Linked DNA regions of Drosophila melanogaster. The protein of the gene in region 2 binds, or shares a complex with, the protein of the main gene of each other region. Each region holds a gene or a part of one and is shown on either strand. Other genes may lie near its edges. The genes, in order: eIF3c, eIF3m, eIF3g1 and eIF3d1.

The links.
Region 1: eIF3m (region 2) and eIF3c share a complex: the UniProt entries of both Drosophila melanogaster proteins name them as parts of the eukaryotic translation initiation factor 3 (eIF-3) complex.
Region 3: eIF3m (region 2) and eIF3g1 share a complex: the UniProt entries of both Drosophila melanogaster proteins name them as parts of the eukaryotic translation initiation factor 3 (eIF-3) complex.
Region 4: eIF3m (region 2) and eIF3d1 share a complex: the UniProt entries of both Drosophila melanogaster proteins name them as parts of the eukaryotic translation initiation factor 3 (eIF-3) complex.

Annotation. Positions count from the first base shown.
Region 1 is NT_033778.4:17,663,681-17,670,397, reverse strand, and holds eIF3c (eukaryotic translation initiation factor 3 subunit c), read right to left. Parts: upstream 4,721-6,717; 5' UTR 4,582-4,720; intron 4,367-4,581; 5' UTR 4,332-4,366; coding exon 4,239-4,331; intron 4,177-4,238; coding exon 1,537-4,176; 3' UTR 1,413-1,536; exon of another isoform or gene 1,367-1,412; 3' UTR 1,123-1,366; downstream 1-1,122. Other genes in the region: CG30109 (uncharacterized protein), read right to left, coding at 1-11, 70-216; CG30108 (uncharacterized protein), read right to left, coding at 592-711, 766-912. UniProt on the Drosophila melanogaster protein: Component of the eukaryotic translation initiation factor 3 (eIF-3) complex, which is involved in protein synthesis of a specialized repertoire of mRNAs and, together with other initiation factors, stimulates binding of mRNA and methionyl-tRNAi to the 40S ribosome.
Region 2 is NT_033778.4:14,162,058-14,167,201, forward strand, and holds eIF3m (eukaryotic translation initiation factor 3 subunit m), read right to left. Parts: upstream 2,769-5,144; 5' UTR 2,475-2,768; coding exon 2,430-2,474; intron 2,314-2,429; coding exon 2,134-2,313; intron 2,080-2,133; coding exon 1,141-2,079; 3' UTR 1,009-1,140; downstream 1-1,008. Other genes in the region: O-fut1 (O-fucosyltransferase 1), read left to right, coding at 1-669; CG8323 (uncharacterized protein), read left to right, coding at 3,221-3,468, 3,532-3,667, 4,086-4,613; CG18327 (uncharacterized protein), read left to right, coding at 5,035-5,144. UniProt on the Drosophila melanogaster protein: Component of the eukaryotic translation initiation factor 3 (eIF-3) complex, which is involved in protein synthesis of a specialized repertoire of mRNAs and, together with other initiation factors, stimulates binding of mRNA and methionyl-tRNAi to the 40S ribosome.
Region 3 is NC_004354.4:2,608,367-2,612,782, reverse strand, and holds eIF3g1 (eukaryotic translation initiation factor 3 subunit g1), read left to right. Parts: upstream 1-2,446; 5' UTR 2,447-2,537; intron 2,538-2,600; coding exon 2,601-3,410; 3' UTR 3,411-3,536; downstream 3,537-4,416. Other genes in the region: Smyd3 (SET and MYND domain containing, class 3), read left to right, coding at 4,116-4,312, 4,371-4,416. UniProt on the Drosophila melanogaster protein: RNA-binding component of the eukaryotic translation initiation factor 3 (eIF-3) complex, which is involved in protein synthesis of a specialized repertoire of mRNAs and, together with other initiation factors, stimulates binding of mRNA and methionyl-tRNAi to the 40S ribosome.
Region 4 is NT_033777.3:23,677,632-23,683,006, forward strand, and holds eIF3d1 (eukaryotic translation initiation factor 3 subunit d1), read left to right. Parts: upstream 1-2,407; 5' UTR 2,408-2,559; coding exon 2,560-2,758; intron 2,759-2,880; coding exon 2,881-3,516; intron 3,517-3,585; coding exon 3,586-3,878; intron 3,879-3,954; coding exon 3,955-4,509; 3' UTR 4,510-4,686; downstream 4,687-5,375. Other genes in the region: GILT3 (Gamma-interferon-inducible lysosomal thiol reductase 3), read left to right, coding at 1-6, 225-533, 607-720; GILT2 (Gamma-interferon-inducible lysosomal thiol reductase 2), read left to right, coding at 1,337-1,396, 1,463-1,627, 1,753-2,046, 2,105-2,209; CG16710 (uncharacterized protein), read left to right, coding at 4,872-4,947, 5,139-5,375. UniProt on the Drosophila melanogaster protein: mRNA cap-binding component of the eukaryotic translation initiation factor 3 (eIF-3) complex, which is involved in protein synthesis of a specialized repertoire of mRNAs and, together with other initiation factors, stimulates binding of mRNA and methionyl-tRNAi to the 40S ribosome.

The DNA.
Region 1 (6,717 bases), 3.5 Mb from region 2:
CTCATGGCGCGCTAAAGGTCAAAGATTGGGTCAACCAGCTGGATGATGAAACTTGAAACCTGGGCTTACCTTGACGCACTCCTGATAGACCCGGAAAATCGGCGCGCAGCCCGAGTCATCCGTCTGGCCCTTAAGGAAGCCTTCCGAGAACCAGCTGTTGAAGCAGGCGTCGTACTGCTTCTTTAGCTCATTGCAATCCTCGCCAATGCTGTTCATTTGTGGAGTGAAGCTCTTTGAGTTTCAGTTATAATTTCTCTATTGAATAATAAGTCGAAAAAAATGTGAGAATGGTTTGTGTGAGGGTCATACTACAGATAAGCTATCAGAGATGTGGGACACAGCATATCGATGTACGTTTCGTTGAAACTGAACGTGCTATCGAAATTTGAATTTTCAATTCTTTAAGAACATCTAATTTATTTTAATAAAGGCACTCTGGTTATAACGAAATCAGTTGTCCATGTTTCATGATGATACTATTAACAGTCAAAGTACTACGAAATGTTTCTCTTTACAAGTATTTTGTAGCGCGTGCAGCCACCAATTAACGCTGGCGAGGATTAGGATGGCTATATGGAGCAGCTTACGGGGTCAGCTTTCGCCCGCCTGCTGCTGTTTTGCATCAGATCTATTCGCATTATTCTCCTCAAGCCCGGTTTCGAAGATCGGATCTATCTCTTGCAAATCGATCTTCTTCTCCTTAATAGCGCGCTGGGGATTACAGGTTGGTCAAACCATACGTGGTTAGGGAGCCGATTAGCTCACCTTGACGCATTCCTGATAAACCCGGAAAATCGGAGCACACGCTGAGTCATCCATTTGACCTTTTAGGAAGCGTTCAGAAAACCAGCTGTTGAAACAGGCATCGTACTGCTGCTTCAGCTCGTTGCAATCCTCGCCAACGCTGCTCATTTGTTTACTAGGTATATTTTGGTTTTAATTTATAATGCCTATTATAGAGTTCCGAAAAAATGTGACAAAGGTACGTCGAACGGTACTACTGAAGAAAAGGTTTCAGAGATGTGAGAAAAAAAGAGCATATCGATATCCGAAGTTTTGCAGAAAACGAAGCTTGTCATCGAAATTCAAATGTTATTCTTAGTTTTCTTAAATTTTCAAAAGCCAAAGTGTTAAGCCGACTAAAATAATACTCTTGTTAGTACATATAAATTTAATATTAGTTGTTGGTAAAAATTTGCAAAAAAAAGTCACTGATTTTGTGTCTCTTGTTTTTAAGGTTTCTTTTTCGGTTTTGGGTTCATACAAAATGTAGTTATTAGTATTATCATTTAACGTAATGAGCGCTGAAACAAATGTTCGTGTGACTTGGCTACAACAATATGCAATGGACATGATAAAAACAGACCTCCGACCCAGCCTGAAACCGAATCGGAGGCCTGAAAGCATGTGACCCAACGTGTTGTCCATGGCCATTCCATTTTAATAGTCGAAGTGCTACAAATTTGATCTGTTTAAGTTTTGCTGATGTTTAAGCTAACGCTCGCTAGAGAGGATGGGCTGAGGTTGCAGCAACGTCTACTCCTCGTCGATCGTTTGGACTTGTTGCTGTTGCTGCTGCTGCCTATCTTGGTTGTTCTTGTGGTGCCCGCGCTGGTTACGGTTCCGGTTGTTGCGATCCCGCCGCTGGCCGAGCCAATTGCCGCCCTGGTTGTTCTGGTTGCGGTTGTAGCCACGGTCACCGCGATTGCCCATGTTGCCGCGCTGGAAGAAGTTGCCCTGCTTCATGTCGAACACCTTTTCGTTGACGTCCACCAGATTTGTGACCTTGTCCACGAATTGCATGGCCAGGGCCTGAAGACGCGATGGCTCCGAACGATGCATACCCACGGTTTCGGATGGATCGTCCAGGCTGGCCATGAGCTCCTCGTTGATGATCATCTTACTGATGATGGAGTGCACTTTCGGCACGGGCAGCTCGTACATCTGCGCCAGCGAAGGAATGCTGATCGAGGTGTAGACGTTCGAGTAGGTGAACAGGTAGGTGCGCAGCGATTCTTCCTTAATGAACTTGGTCAGCATCTCGCGCACGCGATCAGACTCGTAGAAGAGGTCCCACACTTTCGTGTTCATCTTCTTGTTGACAATGAAGTTGGCACACGCCTGCCAGTTGCCGCAACGCATAGCCTTGGCAGCAGCCACGACATGCTCACGCATCGACTCTGGTGGACCCACCAGTGATTGACGCTCCGAGGAACGCAACTGCTGGTAGAAGGTCTTACTGATCATGCGGCGGCGGGCGTCGAATTCATGGGCGGCAATGTAAGGAATTTCGAGCAGCATAGCGGACACCAGGTAGACACATTCAAGCAACTCAAGGTTGATGTGCATATGGAATGGCATCTGGCGTTGCTTCTCGATTTTCTCCTGCTCGGCAGATCGCTCGTGCTGGCGCTGAGGCAGCAGTCCTTGAGCGAGCAGCTCCTTGGGCTTGCCGGTGACCATCAAGTCCACTAGACAGTGATGCGCATCCTTGACGTTGCCCTGGCGGAAGGCACACAGACCCAGATTGGCCATCATACGGTTGTACAGGATGCGGGTGGCGGGATCGGCGGCATCAATGTTGTCCTGCAGATGAGACATCAGCACCAAATCACGGGCCTGGAACCAGTTGTCGTGCATAGCATGATGGTAGATGTGCGCCAGGATGGCCCTCGTACGGATACGATCCGTATCGTCCTTAGCGTAGATGAATTTGCACAGCTTATCCATCACGTCTACGGAGGTGGAGGTAGTGGCTGGCAGCTCACCGCGCTTCTTCTTCAGCACCTCCGGATCGAACTTATAGTAGAGATGTTCGATCTTGCGCAGGTAGATGCGACAGCGCTCGTTGTTGGTGCCAGAGCGCTCGAAATACTGCAGCACCAGTTCAATAGTCTTAACCACGTTCACCTCGTCCTTCAGCCGGGACACGTAGTCGTTGGAGTGTGGATCGCATTCCTTCAGCAGCTTAACAAATTCGTCATCCAGGCGCTCCACGGCAGCCAGTGGGCATCCCCTCACATAAAACGGTGACGTAGCGTACTCCTCATGCTCCTCGGCCACGCTCTCGCTCATAATAATGTCGGCGTTGGCCAGCAGGAGCTTCATCATGCTCTGCATTACCTCCAGAAGCAGGGCCCAGTGTTCTAGCTTCATGGGCTCGGAAATCTTCTGGTTGTAATCGTAGATAGCCGAGATGATGTTAAAATGAATCTTCACGGAGACGGCGGTTCCCAGGTTGTGCTGATCAGAGATGTCCCTCAACTCGAAAAGCAGATCGATCTGCAGACGGCGATCGGTGCGCTTCTTGCCGCGAGCCGACATAATTTCCAACAGCTTGGCCAGCACTAGGGGAACATCGATCTCTGCGTCCTTTTCGAACATCTTGGGCTTCTCTACTACATGACCCTTGACCACAGTCTCCCACTCGCCATCTTCATCGTCCTCGGCGCGCTTGCGGATCTTGGTCTTCTGCTCCTTACGCTTGTCCTTCCTCTTGTCATCATCCTTTTCCTCCTTTTCGGTAGTACGCTTCAAGAATCGCTCGCGCATGTTCTGATACTGGTTCTCATCGTCAGAGGACTCGGTCTCCGATTCAGAGTCCGAGTCCCAATCAATGGAGTCATCGGAATCGTCATCATCGGCGGGCGCAGCCTTTGCCGGCGCGGACTTCACAGCTTTCGGAACCGCTTCTGTAGGCTTCACTCCGGCGTCGCTGTCATCACCAGCATCGCCGCCGTCGCTCTCCAGGGCAACCACCTCGTCCTCGGCCTCGCTCTCCTGGTCGGGTGCTTCACGGAAACGCGACAGATCGTCCTCGAAGTCCTTGATGTACTTGCGTACCTTCTGGCGCAAAGTGCCCAGCGACTTGGAGTTGTTCTTGGAAAGGTTTTTCCTGCCCTCGCGATCCTCCCACACCTCGTTGATGAAGTCCTCCAGCTCGGCCAGGCAGCGAATGTAAAATCGCGGCGTAATGCCGTTCTCCTCCTTTGAGATGACCGGCAGTGCCTTCTGGTAGGCGCGCGTCAGATCCTCGAAGCTGCTCAGGGTATTGGGAATATCCTTGATTTTCTTGTGGTTGCGAATGGTTTTGATGATGCTGGTGAGGTTCTCGTAACGCTTCTCCTTCGTGGAGCGGACCACGCGCTTGACCTCCTCCTCATCGTCGCTGAATTGCTGTTTTCCACGGAAAGGAATAGATTAGTAATGGATGAGTTTCACATCTGGGCGGCACTTACGAAGGCGCTGGCTTTGTTGAAGTTGGTCGCTTGGATCTCCTCCTCGCTGGACTCGGACTCCGATTCGGACCCGTTGGCAAAGAAACGCGACATCTTTGTTGACTTTCTACGCGGCCGTTTGTCTGCGCCTGGAATCACAATTTATTAGTTTCGGGCCACATAAGATTTTGCTTTGTTGAGGTTATGTTTGAGCGGCCAACATGGCGTTTTGCAAAAACGTATGCCAAATATTTCCGCATGACATTTGGTTGTTTCATTCGAAGCCCTGGCAGAAATCGGTTCACTGCCTTGCTTTTTAAGTGTTTACTACCACCTGGCGTTTGATATTTCACAATAAACTTACTATTTTACAGCAAAACTAAACGATGTCGAATGCACAAGACATCAAAAAGAGAGACTAGAGATGGGCGATGGTTGCATGTGTTTTCGTTGGCGATATATATTGCTCAAAGTCACGGGGCGGGGCGTTTGATTTATGTATTAATAATAACTGTCATGTTGAGAAATGATTACTCTCTACTAATATTCGTAAGGAGAGCGTTTTAAACATTTTTTTAAATGTAACAGAACATTTGTTTTTTTATGTGGCGGACCAACAGTTACCGAAATCTATCCCATCTCTAAGGGAGTCACTGTTTTGACTGAATGCGAGCGCGTACTCATCGATAACGAAATGCCGGCACTTCTCGAGATATATCGATATCAAGTAACCGGTTGGGCGGTACATTTAAAATAAATCCATTAAATTACATAGCAAATATATCATCAAAATGAAATAGTGGCCATTTAAGTAACTATTCAAAATAATGTTAAAAAGATAATCAGTGATCAATGCTTACATAGATGTTGCATTGGTGACCTGCAACATTTGAAGTTGCCAGCAACATGTTGCTGCGCTTGCGTGCAAAAGTGCCGGCATTTCTTAGCCAAACAGAGTGGGGTTCCCATTCTGGCGCCCCAACCAATCTCCGGATCAATTGGTCCGGCCAACATGCAGCCAGGCAGCCAAGGAAAGGCCAAAGCAAAACCAAGCCAAACGTTTTCGCGCGCGCCAACAAGTCGCATGCGTTCTCTCCTCCGCGCCGACGGACAGTTCAAGTTCAAAAACTCAATTTTTCGGATGTACTCGGCGATTTGGCAGCGTTGATGCCAATATCCGGCGATAGAGTCTCAAGTGCTTTTGCGGCCCGCTAAAAAGAATTCAATAAATTCATTCATTTGAATTCTTGTGTGTTGTGTTGTGTCTTGGCGGTGTAAACAAAATTTGGCCCAAGTGTGCGGTGTGTGCGTGGCATGTGCTCTGCCCATCCACATCCTGTTTAAGTGGCATCCTAAATGAGATGCGACGCCCGGAATCGCTTGAAAACACGAGTAACACGGAAAACACTTTAACGCAAATGTAAGCATAATAAATAATAACTGCAGATTGATGGAGATGTGTGTATCTGCGGTCTCGGAAATGGCAAATTAAAAATTGATCGGTTAATCTCGCGTAATCGCCCTTTTCCTGGCTTTTCGACAGCTGACATTCGAGAGTGCATATGGCGGCTTTATTATCCGGAGAAATTGATGAGAGCTCCATAAATTCCCTGTCCGCCTATCGACATTTGAATCCGTAAAGGGTCCGTGAAATAGTACGGGTTTCTGCTCCTTGACTCCTCCGAAACTGCAGCTGCAATCGTAAATTGTGTGTGGGTGCAAAAGCTTATATGCATTTACATACATCCAAATCGGCAAAAACGGGCCCCTTTTTCCTGGGGTTCTGTTTCTGTTTCCGTTACGCTTTTGTGCTGTTTATTTTGCTTCCGTTTTCCGTTGGATTGTTACGGCTTGTGCGGCCCCATAAATCCTATATATGGGTTGGATATTTTCAAAACCGATGCTCGAAACAGACTATAGAAATTTCCATTTAAATGCGATTTCTGCCCTTGCTCGAGCATAGATTTCCTGTTGATTGAATACAAATGTTGAGTTACGCAATTTCAATGAATAATTCCTAATAACTACTCCCACGTTCCTGCCTCCATTTTAATTTAGTTTTTATTGATAAAACCGATGCACTTCTTTTTCATTCAATTCGTCATCATCCATTACACAGAAAAAATGGCTTTATATTTAGATAAATATTTTCCTGAAATAAAGTATTTCTTATTCGATAATATTATATTTTTAATAATTTGCCTTCTCTCAATTTGAAAATATTTTAATTCCTATGGATATTTTAATATAATGGAGCATATTGTAAAATTAATGTCCGCTTACTACAAAACTCTTTTGCGAATAAATTGAATAGTTTCTTTCCATGCACTATAAATTCTGCGTGTTTTTCATTTCAATTTAGGAGGAGCAGACATAAAGGTTACAGTCGTAATCAGAATCTTGAGCTCATGTTTTATTCGGGGATTTGGACAACACCCTTTTCATGCTGCACACTGAGTTTCCACAAGACGGAAACTCCCAAGCTAATGAAAAACCAGGG
Region 2 (5,144 bases):
AAGTGGCAGACCAAATATCCTGCAGAATCATATCCCGTACTCGCGTTCACCGGAGCTCCGGCTAGTTTTCCTGTTCAGCTAGAGAACTGCAAGCTGCAGCGCTACTTGCAGTGGAGTCAACGGTATAGGGAAGCATCTAAGGATTTCATCCGAGAGCAGTTGCCTCGGGGTGCCTTTTTGGGCATTCATCTGCGCAACGGTATCGATTGGGTGAGAGCCTGTGAGCACGTCAAGGATAGCCAGCATCTGTTTGCCTCGCCGCAGTGCTTGGGCTATAAAAATGAACGTGGTGCACTCTACCCGGAGCTCTGCATGCCCTCCAAGGAGGCGATCATCCGCCAGCTAAAGAGAACCATTAAGAACGTGCGCCAAACTCAGCCGGACAACGAAATCAAATCAGTTTTCGTGGCGTCAGACTCCAATCACATGATTGGTGAACTAAACACGGCCCTTAGTCGCATGGGCATCAGTGTGCACAAGCTGCCGGAGGATGATCCTTACCTGGACTTGGCCATTCTCGGACAGTCGAACCACTTTATCGGCAACTGTATATCCTCTTACTCGGCATTCGAAAAAAGGGAACGAGATGTGCACGGTTTTCCATCGTACTTCTGGGGATTCCCCAAGGAAAAGGATCGTAAGCATACAAACGTGCACGAGGAGCTGTAATGGAGCAACAGGATTATCTACTTAAATACTCGAATAGGCTATTTTTCGGTTTTCTTTCCTAATACTAGACAGTTTTATTACATTGATTAAGCAATATTCTGGACTTCACTTCTTAAATGGTTAAGGTAAAAGTTTCAACTTACAAATTTAATGAATTTACTTTTGAATGTTACCAATATTTAGTGCTTTTAAAGAATATCAGTATATTTATGTTTTATTCTTTTAGCTTTAATTCTTAAAAAGGATTTTAATGAAACCCGTTAAATGCCTTCAAAAACACTACAACTTAATTGTAAGCTATTAAAGTATTCCTCGCATTTATGAAAACACTTGTTTGCTACCGATTTTACTTATAAATTTATTCAAGTTATCCAGCCCTCTCGCATTCTTGAAAATAATTTAGGTCGTCACTCCAGTGCCCCGAGGCCAGCATTTGTTCATCATCAGTGCAATTTTTTGGAAGTGGTGCGCCTAGTGTATCAGCTTCTGGGATCGAGCCAGATCCAGTTGCGCCGAGGAGACGCTCGTTAGACCCTCGCGCACTGTGCTGAGGTTCTCCTTCCATGCCTGCAGCAAATCGCGAAGCTGCTCCCATTGTGGTGCTCCAAAGGTTCGGTGCATTGTCGATGAGATGTGTACCTTTTGATTGGCCTGATCTAGTCGTGCGCGTACCAGCTTTGTTTTCAGCACCTCGATGACGAAGGGCTCCACCTCGTCTTCGTTGATCTGCAGCTCCTTGGTAAGCGTTTCGAATGTCATCTCCGGGCTGCTCTCGGCCAGCTGCATGAAGGTCAGCAGACGCATCTTCTTCATGTTCTGCTCATGGTTCAATCCTTGCGAGTTGACAAACTCCCTGTGATCCTCGTAGAACTGCACGTACGCTGGCAGCTTCTCGGACACGAAGATGGACAGCAGGTCGTGGATGAGGTCGCCTTCCAAAAAGCGCACAGGCTTCAGCGACAGCAGAGGATCCAGCAGGAATGTATTGGGGTCGGCCAAGGCAGTCACAATGCACTTCATGGCATCCTCACGGGCAACACAAGCATTGTCCGCCGTGTAGGTGCCCAGCAGCTCAATCATAACCTTGGAAGACAGCTCCAGGTTGGTGTCCTTGGTCACGTCGTGCAGCAGGCGGTACAGCTTCTGCATCTGTTCCGACGAAGGTGGGCAGTTGGCAAACTGGGATTTGAGCTGATCCACACCTGAGAAGACCTCCAGCACCTGTTCGCACTGCTTGGCCACCTGGACCAGGTGGTAGTACACATGGTAGCGTAAGGGAGAGGCGGTGTCCAGGTTGTTGAACAGACGCCACAACGACTGAAGGCACACCTTGCCCAATGGAAGATTGGGAGCCTTGGTCATCTTCTCGCAGTAGGCCAGGACAATGTTCTCACCGCGATCCAGGGGTATCTGAAATATTGAAGGTTATTTTTTGTTGCTAATATTGTATTCTGTATTACTCACCGTGATCATGATGGACACAATGCTGTTTAGAATTCCATCAATCTGCGAGGGCTCACCATCCTTAAAGCAAACGTCGCAGACGCCGATGATCTTGTGCAAATCATCCTCCACACCTTTATTGGACTTCTCCGATGAGATTTCGGCTCCCAGCTTCTTGAAATACTTGCGCAGCTCTTGCACCTTTTAATAAATTGCGAATAATATTAGTTTTGTTTTGCAGCAAGAGGAAGACATAACCTCAATTCGGGCAAGGCGCCGCCCGAATTCATGGCTAAAACAGGGCACTTTCACTCTACCTGCTCGTCCAGGGACAGGTCTATGAAAACCGGATGCGAAGTCATGGTTTTGTTAAATGTTATTCCACTTTTTTAAACAAATTCAGCTGAAAATAACACGCACACACGTCTTCGGCGCTTTGACAGCTCGAAAGGAAAGAGAGCGACCAGTGCTGCCGGCCTGGTCCGTTTCCCGCTAATAGCGATGCTCTCAAACAATTGACCGAATTAAATTAAGATGACGTTAACGTGGCCACTTAAAATATATAATATTCCTCTGAAATTCATTCAGTTCAATAAAATTAAAATAGTTATGGCTTTGCAAGTGTATTAATGCTGACATAAAAATCAATTTTATAAATGTTTTGACGGGACTCTAGCTAACAATAAATGTGGGCAAAAGTAGTGTTCCCGGATCTTCTGAAACATATAAGTCACTAAGTGACTTCTTAGCCGTACCGTTACTAACGTTCTAAAACCCGTTTCTCCTGAATTTTAAATTTACCATCCAGCAGTTATTTATTTTACATTTATCACTTTACAGTTAAGCAAAATGACACGATTTTTGTTAAATTGTTAATTTGGCGACAGTCTGGCAACTCCGCTGCTACTAAGTTATATTGCTCGCCAAATTTATATTATATTTGTATAACGGGCGAGAAGAGCAGGAGTAATGCCAGCTAATCGGGGCGGAGAATTATGAAATACACGACACACACGCAGCGTGCGGCTTCCTAGAGCCACAGAGATTCCGCAGCAGGCGGTACAACCGTTACTAGTCAACCACTATCCTCAGCAGAACTCGTGATTACATGGCTACATCGGATTTTGTTCTGGGCGGCCTGGCCTCCGTGGGGGCCACCTTCTTCACCAATCCCATCGAGGTGATCAAGACACGGATCCAGCTGCAGGGCGAGCTGGCGGCACGGGGTACCTATGTGGAGCCCTACAAGGGGATTGTCAATGCCTTCATTACGGTGGCCAAAAATGATGGCATTACGGGGCTCCAAAAGGGCCTCGCACCGGCCTTGTACTTCCAGTTCATCATCAATTCCTTCCGGTGGGGAATTATTTAGTAGCTATATTTTATAATTATTAATCATCTTGAATTTACATTCGCCAGGCTCAGCATTTATTCGGAGGCAATGGAGAGGCGGTGGATGCACAACCGGAAGGGTGAGGTGTCCTACGGAATGGGACTACTGTGGGGCGCCATCGGCGGCGTCGTGGGGTGCTACTTCTCCAGTCCATTTTTCCTGGTACGCCAATTGTGGGAATGCTGCGGGAGGTTACATAAACAAATACATAGTTTATCTAAATGAGCCGCGTGCTCATCAGCATTATGGACCTTCCACAGATAAGAGACTTTATTGGCAATTGTCCATCAGTATCTAAATACTACCATTTCAAGATATCCAGGGAGAAAGTATTATACTTCCAAATATTCCATATTTTTTGACTGTTTATGGTTGTTTGCATTGCTTATTACTTTATGACATAACGCATTTATTGTTAGCCTATTTATACCAAGACATTTTCAAGATCTAGAAACAGAAAAATATTCGCTAAATAACTTAATAAGTATTGTAAACATTAACATATTATCACAGTCAATTCTCTTATGTACAATGTCTATATTTCTATATTATTATTTATGGTCCTTTCTTTTGCATCCAGATCAAAACTCAGCTGCAATCACAAGCCGCCAAGCAAATCGCCGTTGGCTACCAACATGCCCATACTTCCATGACAGATGCCCTGCGTCAGATCTACTCCAGGAATGGAGTACGAGGACTGTGGAGAGGATCTGTGGCCGCATTGCCCAGGGCGGCTTTGGGATCAGGTGCCCAGATAGCCACCTTTGGTAAGACCAAAGCCCTGTTGGTCCAGTACGATCTGGTGACCCAGCCCACGTTGAACTCCTTCTCGGCTGGCTTGATAGCCGGATCCATTATGTCGGTGGCCATAACGCCGCCAGATGTAATCACCACGCGTCTGTACAATCAGGGCGTAGACGCCGAAGGACGCGGTCTTCTTTATCGCGGTTGGCTTGACTGCTTTGTGAAAATCCTACGATCAGAGGGCGTTTATGGTATGTACAAGGGGTTCTGGGCCAACTACTTGCGCATTGCCCCCCACTCAACCCTTGTGCTGCTATTCTTTGACGAGCTGGTCGCCGTACGCACAAAGTATAGTAATCAATGACCCCAAAGATCACTGGCTAGGTAGCATTAATTTAAGTACAAAATTGTTAAAATCGTTTTTACCACCCGGAAATATACACATTGCTTTTTATTATTAAGCCAAGCTTTGATAAACAAATTTGATATGCAAGTGCCGCCGCATACAATTTGTTTGTCTAAATCTGGCTTTAGTCTTTAGTGAGTTAGCTTAATGTCCTAGTTCCAATCTCTTAGATTAGCAAAGCCCCAGAACCAACTTGTGCCTTCATTAAGCTAATTTAAGAGCTCTTCCTGTAGCCATTAACCGTGCAATATTTTGGTGAAATAAACCAGTTTAACTGTTACATTTTAACGCATATTGCTCTCAAGTCTTAAGCAGCTAGCTTATCGCAAGTGTGGCGTTAGTGATCACTAGATTGTGATACAGAACGGACGTCTCATTGATGGCTACGTCGGATTTTGTGCTGGGCGGCGTGGCTGCCATGGGCGCTGGTGTCTTCACCAATCCCGTCGAGGTGATCAAAACTCGCATTCAACTACAGGGAGAGCTGGC
Region 3 (4,416 bases), on a different chromosome or scaffold from region 2:
ACTGTAGCCGACGCTCTGTCCAGAGGACCGACAGTCGAACAAATTAACACAGTAGCCTCAACAATGCACAGCTCTGACAGTTCGAGCCATGGGCTGATACCTAGCGTTGAAGCCCCGATAAACGCATTCAAGAATCAAATTTTCTTCAGGGAGTCCGAGTCAGAGAACTACTCATTTAGCATTCCATTCCCGACATTTCAAAGGCATTTAGTAGATCGCAACTTGTTCACACCCGATAGTCTCTTGTCAGATTTGAAAGAATATCTTAACCCATCCGTGATTAATGGAATTTTCACATCCGAGGATGTAATGGGGAAAATTCAAATTCTCTACCCCATCCATTTTCAGGGTTTCAAGATTAGATTCTGCCAAAGCAAAGTCAAAGACCTTGTTAACGAAGCCGAACAAGAGGAAGAAATACTTAGGACACATAACAGAGCACACAGAAATGCTGTGGAAAATAAAGCTCAGTTGTCCGAAAGAGTATACTTTCCTAAAATGAGGAAAAAAGTTTCGGCTATCGTGAATCAGTGTTTGGTGTGTAAGACTGCTAAATATGACAGACATCCCACGCATCCAGAAATAAGACAAACTCCCTTGCCAGAATACCCCGGACAAATTATTCATATTGACATCTACTCGACAGAACGACATCTGGTGCTCACGGCGATTGATAAATTTTCCAAACTGGCCATGGGAAGAGTTATCAAATCCAAAGCTGTAGAAGACATTAGGAAAGCCCTAAGAGATATCGTGTTTTATTATGGAGTGCCTAAATTAATAGTAATGGACAATGAAAAGTCCCTCAACTCAGCCTCTATCAAATTCATGTTGACAGACCAGCTGGGTATTGAGCTCTACAAAGCACCTCCGTATAAGAGTACAGTAAATGGACAGATAGAAAGATTTCACTCCACACTCTCTGAAATAATGAGATGTTTGAAAGGAGATGGAACACATAGGGGCTTCGAGGAACTTCTCGATAGGGCCATCTATGAATATAACTACACTGTCCATTCTGTCACAAAAAAACGACCTCTAGAGGTGTTCTTCGGCAGGATAGCTACCGTAGCTCCAGAAAAATATGAACAAGCTAGACTGGACAATATAGACCGACTTAGGCAAAAACAGGAAACCGACATAGAATACCACAACCGGACAAGAAAGCCCATAAAAACCTATATCAAAGGGCAAGAAATTTTCGTTAGGGTTAATACAAGATTAGGTTCTAAGTTATCAAGTAGATTTAGGAAGGAACTAGTTAAGGAAGACCGAAGTACCACAATATTAACAGAATCAGGGAAATTAGTACATAAAAGTAACATAAGATCATGATTGCTTCAGAATAATTACTGTGGCCACATCGATAGACAAGTAGAACATAGAAACATTAAACATACTGATTAACGTAACCACGAGAATTAAATTTGAAACGATTCGACTTTGACAGACGAGTTGGCCATAGGTTTGCAGAATTAGATTGGGCTCGTGAAAGAAGAGATTGCGTTGTGAATGCGTTTCTGCGGAGCGAGTTTAAATTGAATGAGACCAGTAGCCTACTTGAAAACAATATACCGATTTCTGCCTTGACGGTCAAATAAATGTTAAAACTTTCACACGTTCTCGCTTTACACAACGGAACTACAATTTGAATGCCATTGAAATCTCCATATTGAATCAGTTAATTCCTTATTTCTTATATTTTAAAACATGATCAGTAAAGGAAACTAATAATAATAAATAAATAATAATTTAATTTGAATAATAATAAAATTTACCAATTAAAGACGAAATGTACGGAATCAATGCCTTCTGCAAAGGTTCCAATGGTCTAAAAATATGTAGATATAAATTCATTAGTAATTTAGTAAAAACCAGAATTTTAATAGAAGCAATCAAGTTGTCAATGCAGAACACATCCGAGTTGCACAAACCTCGAACGCACGCAACAATAAACACCTGGCATTCAAACCATTAATGCTGTGCCCAAACTACCACGAATCACCCCACCAACGATGCGACTCAAAAACATCCCATCCTTATGATGACCGCTCGAGGACAAGCGTCAATTAAGAGGGGAGGAGTTATTGCCCTGCAATTGATTCTCTAACATCTTGTGGTTCCACATAGTCTCCGCTGCCATCAACGCCAACGAACGGTTAAGCGCGACATCGACACTTCTGCGCTGCGCCGCGGCCGACGCCTGCTGCGCCGCTGCCGACGACTTCACTTGATTGCTAGGGACTTAGGGAAACATTTTGTACGCTAGATTTAGTTTCAAATGATAAATTGCAATAAACGGTCGCTTGCGATCTTCAAAATCAAATCGATAACTTATTAACTTATATGTAACGAAATTTCAAATGGTATATTCCAAAAAGTGCAAAGTGGTATTAGCGGTATATTTTTTGGACACACACGGCATATTTTTGTGACCGCGGCAGGGTAACACTCTTTTGTTGCTGATTAAAAATCCGCTTAACTCGTGGCGAAATTTGCATTTACGATTTCGCATACAAATCGCGTTGAAAATCAGAGTGAGTGCACCCCAAGCAAGCGCCCAGTGTAGCCCCACTCACTGCGCCCTCAATTCCTTTCAGATGCCGGGCGTTGAAACGATCAAATCCTCCTGGGCGGACGAGGTGGAGCTCGACTATGGTGGACTACCTCCGACGACGGAGACGGTGGAGAACGGACAGAAGTACGTGACGGAGTACAAGTACAACAAGGACGACAAGAAGACGAAGGTGGTGCGCACGTACAAGATATCCAAGCAGGTGGTGCCCAAGACGGTGGCCAAGCGACGCACCTGGACGAAGTTCGGCGACTCGAAGAACGACAAGCCCGGCCCCAACTCGCAGACGACCATGGTGTCCGAGGAGATCATCATGCAGTTCCTCAACTCCAAGGAGGACGAGAAGGCCAACGATCCGCTGCTAGATCCCACCAAGAATATTGCCAAGTGCCGTATCTGCAACGGTGAGCATTGGTCGGTCAACTGCCCGTACAAGGGCACGGCGATGGACACGAATATGATGGAGAAGAAGGCTTCGGCAGCCGCCGCGGCCGCCGTCGATGCGCCCAAGTCCGGCAAGTATGTGCCGCCGTTCCTCAAGGACAGCCAAAAGGGCGCGCTGGGAATGCGCGGACGCGACGACACGGCCGCCATTAGGATATCGAATCTGTCGGAGTCGATGACCGAGGCGGATCTCGAGGAGCTGGTGAAGAAGATTGGACCGCAGAGCAAGATGTATCTCGCCCGCGACAAGAACACCGGACTCTGCAAGGGATTCGCCTACGTGCACTTCAAGCAGCGCAAGGATGCGGCCGCCGCCATCGAGATCCTCAATGGACACGGCTACGACCACTTGATCCTCAGCGTCGAATGGTCGAAACCCCAGAACAATTAGTTAGTCCCGTTCCCACTACCCGCGTTTACTGCTCATAGGAGTCCGTTCGAGTCGATCACACAATTTGTCCCTATGCTATGCTAAGTTTGCTACAAATAAATCTTAAAACAGCCCCCATGGGCACCGAAAACCAGATGACTATGCTCTGCAAGGATACAATGGCATCTAGAATCGTATATTTTTCATATTTGATATAACTTAATCGCTCTTCTTTAGTTTTGCGGACCAACCAACACAAATGCTTTCGACTTTTGCTCTAATATAGCTTTCTCCCTCGTTTTAAAGGACGCAAGGCCACCAAATCGTAGACACTGGGAACAACATATAAAAGAAATATTTTTTATTTGTTACTTAAAAAACTTGAATATGATTTGTTAAGTGTATTTTTTAACGACATGCAGCTACCCACATATGGTTAACAAGTTAACCTTACGCGGTGCCCACTGTAGAAAGCATGATTCCAGCCGATCTGGCAACGCCATCGTTTGCATGCGAATAAACACCATGGTGTTGTTGTTTTTGTGTTTGCCAGCGATTTGCGTAAATTGTGTTTGTTTTTGTGGCCAAAAATAGAAATCAGATGCCGCAAAATATTCAAAAAGCATTCGAAACAATATTTTTGATCTTCAGGTGTGCGCTCATTTTCAGTCGTCAGTGAGACGGGCCCCCAGGCGAAAGTCTTTGTTGTTGCTCCGTTCGAGCGAAATGGCCACCGCCACCGTTGGTTCATCCAGATCCGCAACCACATCCGCAACCGCATCCGCATGCTCATCCAAATCCAAGAACCTAAAGAATCCGGCGCCGCAAATAAAAAGGGGACAGCGGATCCTCACGGAGAAACCATTCGCCTTCGTCTTGAAATCACAGTACCGCCTGGAGCGGTGCGATAACTGCCTGGAGGCGTAAGTTTCGCCATGTGGCTGCCTTTGTGAGCTATCTAATTTGGGTTCGTCGTTGCAGGACCAAGGTGCTGAAGTGCTCCAACTGCAGGTATGTGTCCTACTGC
Region 4 (5,375 bases), on a different chromosome or scaffold from region 2:
GCGGGGGTGAGTCAGCTAAGATCAAAATGATAGAATTCTTATGCATACTATAGTCATTTCTTTAGTACTCATTTCGAATTCATTAGCAGTTCATTTCGAAAACCATTTGTATTTACATTAAAAAAAAAACAGCAATAAACTGAAATACACACACACAATTTGTTTGTAGATCGTGAAATAGTTCATGTTTTTTGAGGTTTTAAACCAGAATTTGTTACGTGCAGTTCTACAACAACACATCCACTGGCGAGAGCCAAGTATTTTGTCAGCATGGCGTGGATGAGTGCGAACTAAATGCACTCCATGCCTGCATTATTGAGACCCTGGACATTCGGAAGGCCTTCAATCTGATCTACTGCATGCTGCGCTCCTATTCGAATGAGCTGGGCCCGTGCTCGAGGAGCATGGGTGTGGACGTCAGCAAGGCCAGGGAGTGTAAGGCATCCCGAACCACGGCAGAAATACTGGCGCCCTACGGCAAGGAAACCCTTAAACTGGGCATCTCCTTTGTGCCCACCATTGTGTTCGAGAATGTGAGTAACCAACCCAACCAGGCTTACATGATCAAATACCAGACTTAACTTAACATTACCCTCTGATCCGCAGGACTTTGATCCTTACGACCAGAGAAGCATTCGCAACAACTTCGAAAGACACTTCTGTCGGCAGTATCTGAAAAAGTTCAACATCAAACTGCCCACTTGTTCCGCAATTTTGTAAACTTTTATGTAATGTACTGAGTAATTTAACTGTTTCAATGTTCCAAGACCAATAAACAATAATTATAACCAACTGGAGTGTTTGCTTACTCGCTGACTCACTTGGGGCCAATAAAAATTTACATGTGTATAGTATATACATATCAGCTTATCAGTCATGTTTTTGTATACAGATTCTAATCAGAAACAGCTGTCTGGTGGTCTAAAAATAAGATTAAAACCCCGCTGCTCAGTAAGTTTTCCGTAGTCAGCGCATAAATGTAAAGGGGAAAATGCTGGTTGACAGCAGGGGCGTCGAATTGGTTGGCTAGTCACACCCTTTATCTATATATTTATATTAATTTTTTCAAAAGCGGATATATTACAGAAAAATTATAAAAAACAAGCGAAAAGTCACCCTACTATTGCAATACAAATAATTATTTTTTTTTTAACTTATATGATTTTTGAGCCCCCCTTGAGCATTTTCTAACCACGCCACTGGCCGCTTCGAATTTGACGAAACGCAGTGACAACGCTGCGCATTACAAGTCCCGGAATTATTTCAGTGTCGAGCGTTCGCTGGCGTTGAGCGGCCGAATATTTCAAGATCAGCTCGGGATTAAACTGAATTTGCCATGAGGGCGGCTGTCTTTGTGTGTCTGCTGCTGGGATGGGTGGGCGTGGCCACGCCAAGGGTAAGTGACCCAGTTGATCGGACTGAATCCCGAATTGCGACGCTCCCATTGATCGTGACTTTGCAGCGTTTGCGCGGACCGCAAGCTGACCGACTGGCGATCACCCTGTACTACGAAGCATTGTGTCCCTACTGCATGGAGTTCGTGACCACGCAGCTCAATCCCTCGATGGTCCGTCAGGATCGACTTCCATTCACTGATCTTACGCTGGTTCCTTATGGAAATGCCAGGGTAGGTTTCATTTTTCGTAGCTTAAACTAGTAGTTATAGTACAAGTACATAGTATAGCTCAATTTGAAGTTTTAGAGTGTCAATCAGCGTTAATCCGCACTTAAACTTCGCTTAATCCCCTCCAGACGAACGATGACGGAAATGTGGAGTGCCAGCACGGAGTGATGGAGTGCGAATTGAACGCGTGGCACGCCTGCATACTGGAGCACCATGACATTGCCCAATCCCTCAAGCTGATCGCCTGCATGATGAGGGGTAAGAAGAACAGGCTGGAAAAGTGCGCTGACCACTATCAAATCGACGTGGGCGATGTCAAAAATTGCAAGAAAACGCGACAGGTGAACGACATTCTGAGGAAGTACGGCAAGGAAACGGCCAAGGTCTCATTTCAGGGAGTGCCAGCCGTAGCTCTGGATAACGTGAGTTTAAATGCGAAAGAAATTCATGAAATCTAAAATAAAACTTTGTGATTTTAAGGTTTATAACGCGGATCTATCAGCAAACTTAACTGATCATTTTGATGCCATTTTTTGCGCCAAGTATAAGGAAAAGTTCAATAAGCAGCTAAATAATTGTCAATAAATATTGTGTTCATTTAACAATACATTTTTTTATTAAAAAATATTTTTTGCATTTTCTTTGTAATTAAATCGTAAAATCAGGTTCTGAAAAATGAATAGTTCGAATTTTTAGTTTTCCCGCCCAGCAGTGGCGCCATCTATGACAGCATGCTGCCAGACCTTTGAACATTCGCTACGATTTTAGTATTTTTCTTTGGCGGTGGTATATTTCAACGCGACAACGGTCCCACTCAACTATTTTCGCAACACGCGACGATACGAATTTTCCACATTTCTTTGTTGATTTCTGGAAAATCGCTGTATATAGACCGAATAGCCGACTGCAGACTGAGCACCAGGTAAACGCGCGAGATGAGCGAGACCATAAACACCGCGGCTCAGTTCCCGAGCTTCGAGAAGCCGACCGTGCAGTTCAATGAAAAGGGCTGGGGTCCCTGCGAGCTGCCCGATACGTTCAAGGATGTGCCGTACCAGCCGTTCAGCAAGAACGATCGTCTGGGCAAGATCTGCGACTGGACGAATACGTCGAACAACGACAAGAAGTACCAGAGTGAGTTTATTCCCCACCCGAAACCGACCCACAAAATACTAATCGCCGAAAGTGAGGTTAGGTAGGTGTGTCGTGGCATGATATTGTTGCTAACATATTGGTGGTTGGTATTCCATTCGCAGACAAGTATGCCTCCAGCTTTGGCACGGGCATTCAGTACTCGTACTACCATGAGGAGGACGAGACAACCTTCCACCTGGTGGACACGGCCCGCGTCCAGAAGCCGCCGCACCAGCGCGGCCGGTTCCGCAACATGAGGAATTCGCGTTCCGGTCGTGGCAGGAATGCCCGCGGTGGCCTTAATACTCACGGCATGACGACGCTCAGCGGCAAGAATGTAAAGGCCCGCGATCCGCGCCATGGTCGCGGCATGGGCAAGAAGTTCGGTCATCGCGGACCACCACCAAAGATGCGCGAATCTTCGGTGGCCGTCCGCGCCGATTGGGCATCCATCGAGGAGATGGACTTCCCGCGACTCATCAAGCTGTCGCTGCCCAACATCAAGGAGGGCGTCGATATTGTCACCTGCGGCACGTTGGAGTACTACGACAAGACCTACGACCGCATCAATGTGAAGAACGAGAAGCCGCTGCAGAAGATCGATCGCATCGTGCATACGGTGACCACCACAGACGATCCCGTCATCCGGCGTTTGTCTAAGACCGTCGGCAATGTCTTCGCCACGGACGCCATCCTGGCCACCATCATGTGCTCTACGCGATCGAACTATTCCTGGGATATTGTCATCGAGAAAGTTGGTATGTTAAATGAAATACGAAATATAATAATAATAAGAGAAATAAATAATAATTGTAACCTTATTTTAGGCGACAAGGTGTTCATGGACAAGCGTGACCACACCGAGTTCGATCTGTTGACCGTGAACGAGAGCAGCGTGGAACCACCGACCGACGACGACAGCTCATGCAACTCCCCTCGCAACCTGGCCATCGAGGCGACTTTCATTAACCACAACTTTAGCCAGCAGGTGCTTAAGACTGGAGACCAGGAACCCAAATACAAGTTCGAGGAAAGCAACCCTTTCATCAGCGAGGACGAAGATATCCAAGTCGCCAGCGTGGGCTACCGCTACAAGAAGTGGGAGCTGGGAAGCGATATTGTAAGTGTTGCATAATCCAACTTTAAAGTTGGAATATTTTTCTATATTATGTTAAACTATTGTCTTATACTTTTAGGTCCTGGTAGCGCGTTGCGAGCACGATGGTGTCCTGCAGACGCCAAGCGGCGAGCCGCAGTTCATGACTATCAAGGCACTCAACGAGTGGGACTCGAAGTTGGCCAATGGCGTGGAATGGCGTCAAAAGTTGGACACGCAGCGCGGTGCTGTGCTCGCCAACGAGCTGAGGAACAACGCATGCAAGCTGGCCAAGTGGACTGTGCAGGCCGTCCTGGCCGGGTCCGATCAGCTAAAGCTCGGCTATGTGTCGCGTATCAATCCGAGAGATCACTCGCGTCACGTCATCCTCGGCACGCAGCAGTTCAAGCCGCATGAATTTGCCACTCAGATCAACCTGAGCATGGACAACGCCTGGGGAATCCTGAGATGCATCATCGATCTGGTGATGAAGCAGAAGGATGGCAAATACCTGATCATGAAGGACCCCAACAAGCCGATCATCCGTCTGTACGACATCCCAGACAATACTTTCGACTCCGATGACTCGGACGATGGCGAGGGCGATGACGAAGGTTTCCAGCAGGTCTACAACTACGCGCACAACAAGATTTAGACGCCACGCCCCCCTACTCCTGCATCCCTTCCAGTCTTGGGCTCTTTTGCCACAACCCGCTAAGAATAACCACAACTGATGTCCTCTAAAGGAAAAGGTCATGTTATAGGCCCTAGCTTAAGCATTTGTATTCGATTTAAATTCAGATATTTCCTAGTAAATCACAGAGGGCGAAACAATACATGAATTTTTATTGGTCCAGGTCTAATGCCGGGTACTTGTGATAAAAACTTTCGACTGAAACACCGAGGTCTTGTACGTAAATGACTGACTCATTTCCCGGACTCATATATAGTAAGCTGATTGTGCGTGTCGGGCATCTAGTTAAGATTTAGACATTGTTTAAACTCTGACGGTTAAAGATGGTCTTCCTACAAAGAGTGTACATATCCTTCCTGGTCCTGCATACTCAATTGCTGATGTACCTGGCTGAGTCTGGTAATATATGTTGCAAGTACTCCACATTGTATACGTTATAACATTCAAGAAAATGATTCATTTGGATATGGGTATTTCCTTGAATTTTAAAATATAAATAGCTTTGTTTCGTCCAATCATTATCTAAACATCCAATTAAAATGACTCACATAATATAATATTTATTAATATCCAATTCTTTACTGTATCAGAATATCCGCCTTGTAATCTGGATGAGAAATGCATTAGTCTAGCCCGCTGCACATCACTCTTGCCCTTTCTGAAGCCCCACAACATGACGCCAGCCGAGAAGGCGGTATTCGAGGACAGATATTGCGGCTATGGCCCCAAGGGGCAGGAATTATTGGACAGAGTTCTCATCTGCTGCCCAAATATGGGACACATTTTGCCAAATACCCAGATATGTGGACCAATCATGCCGGCTTATC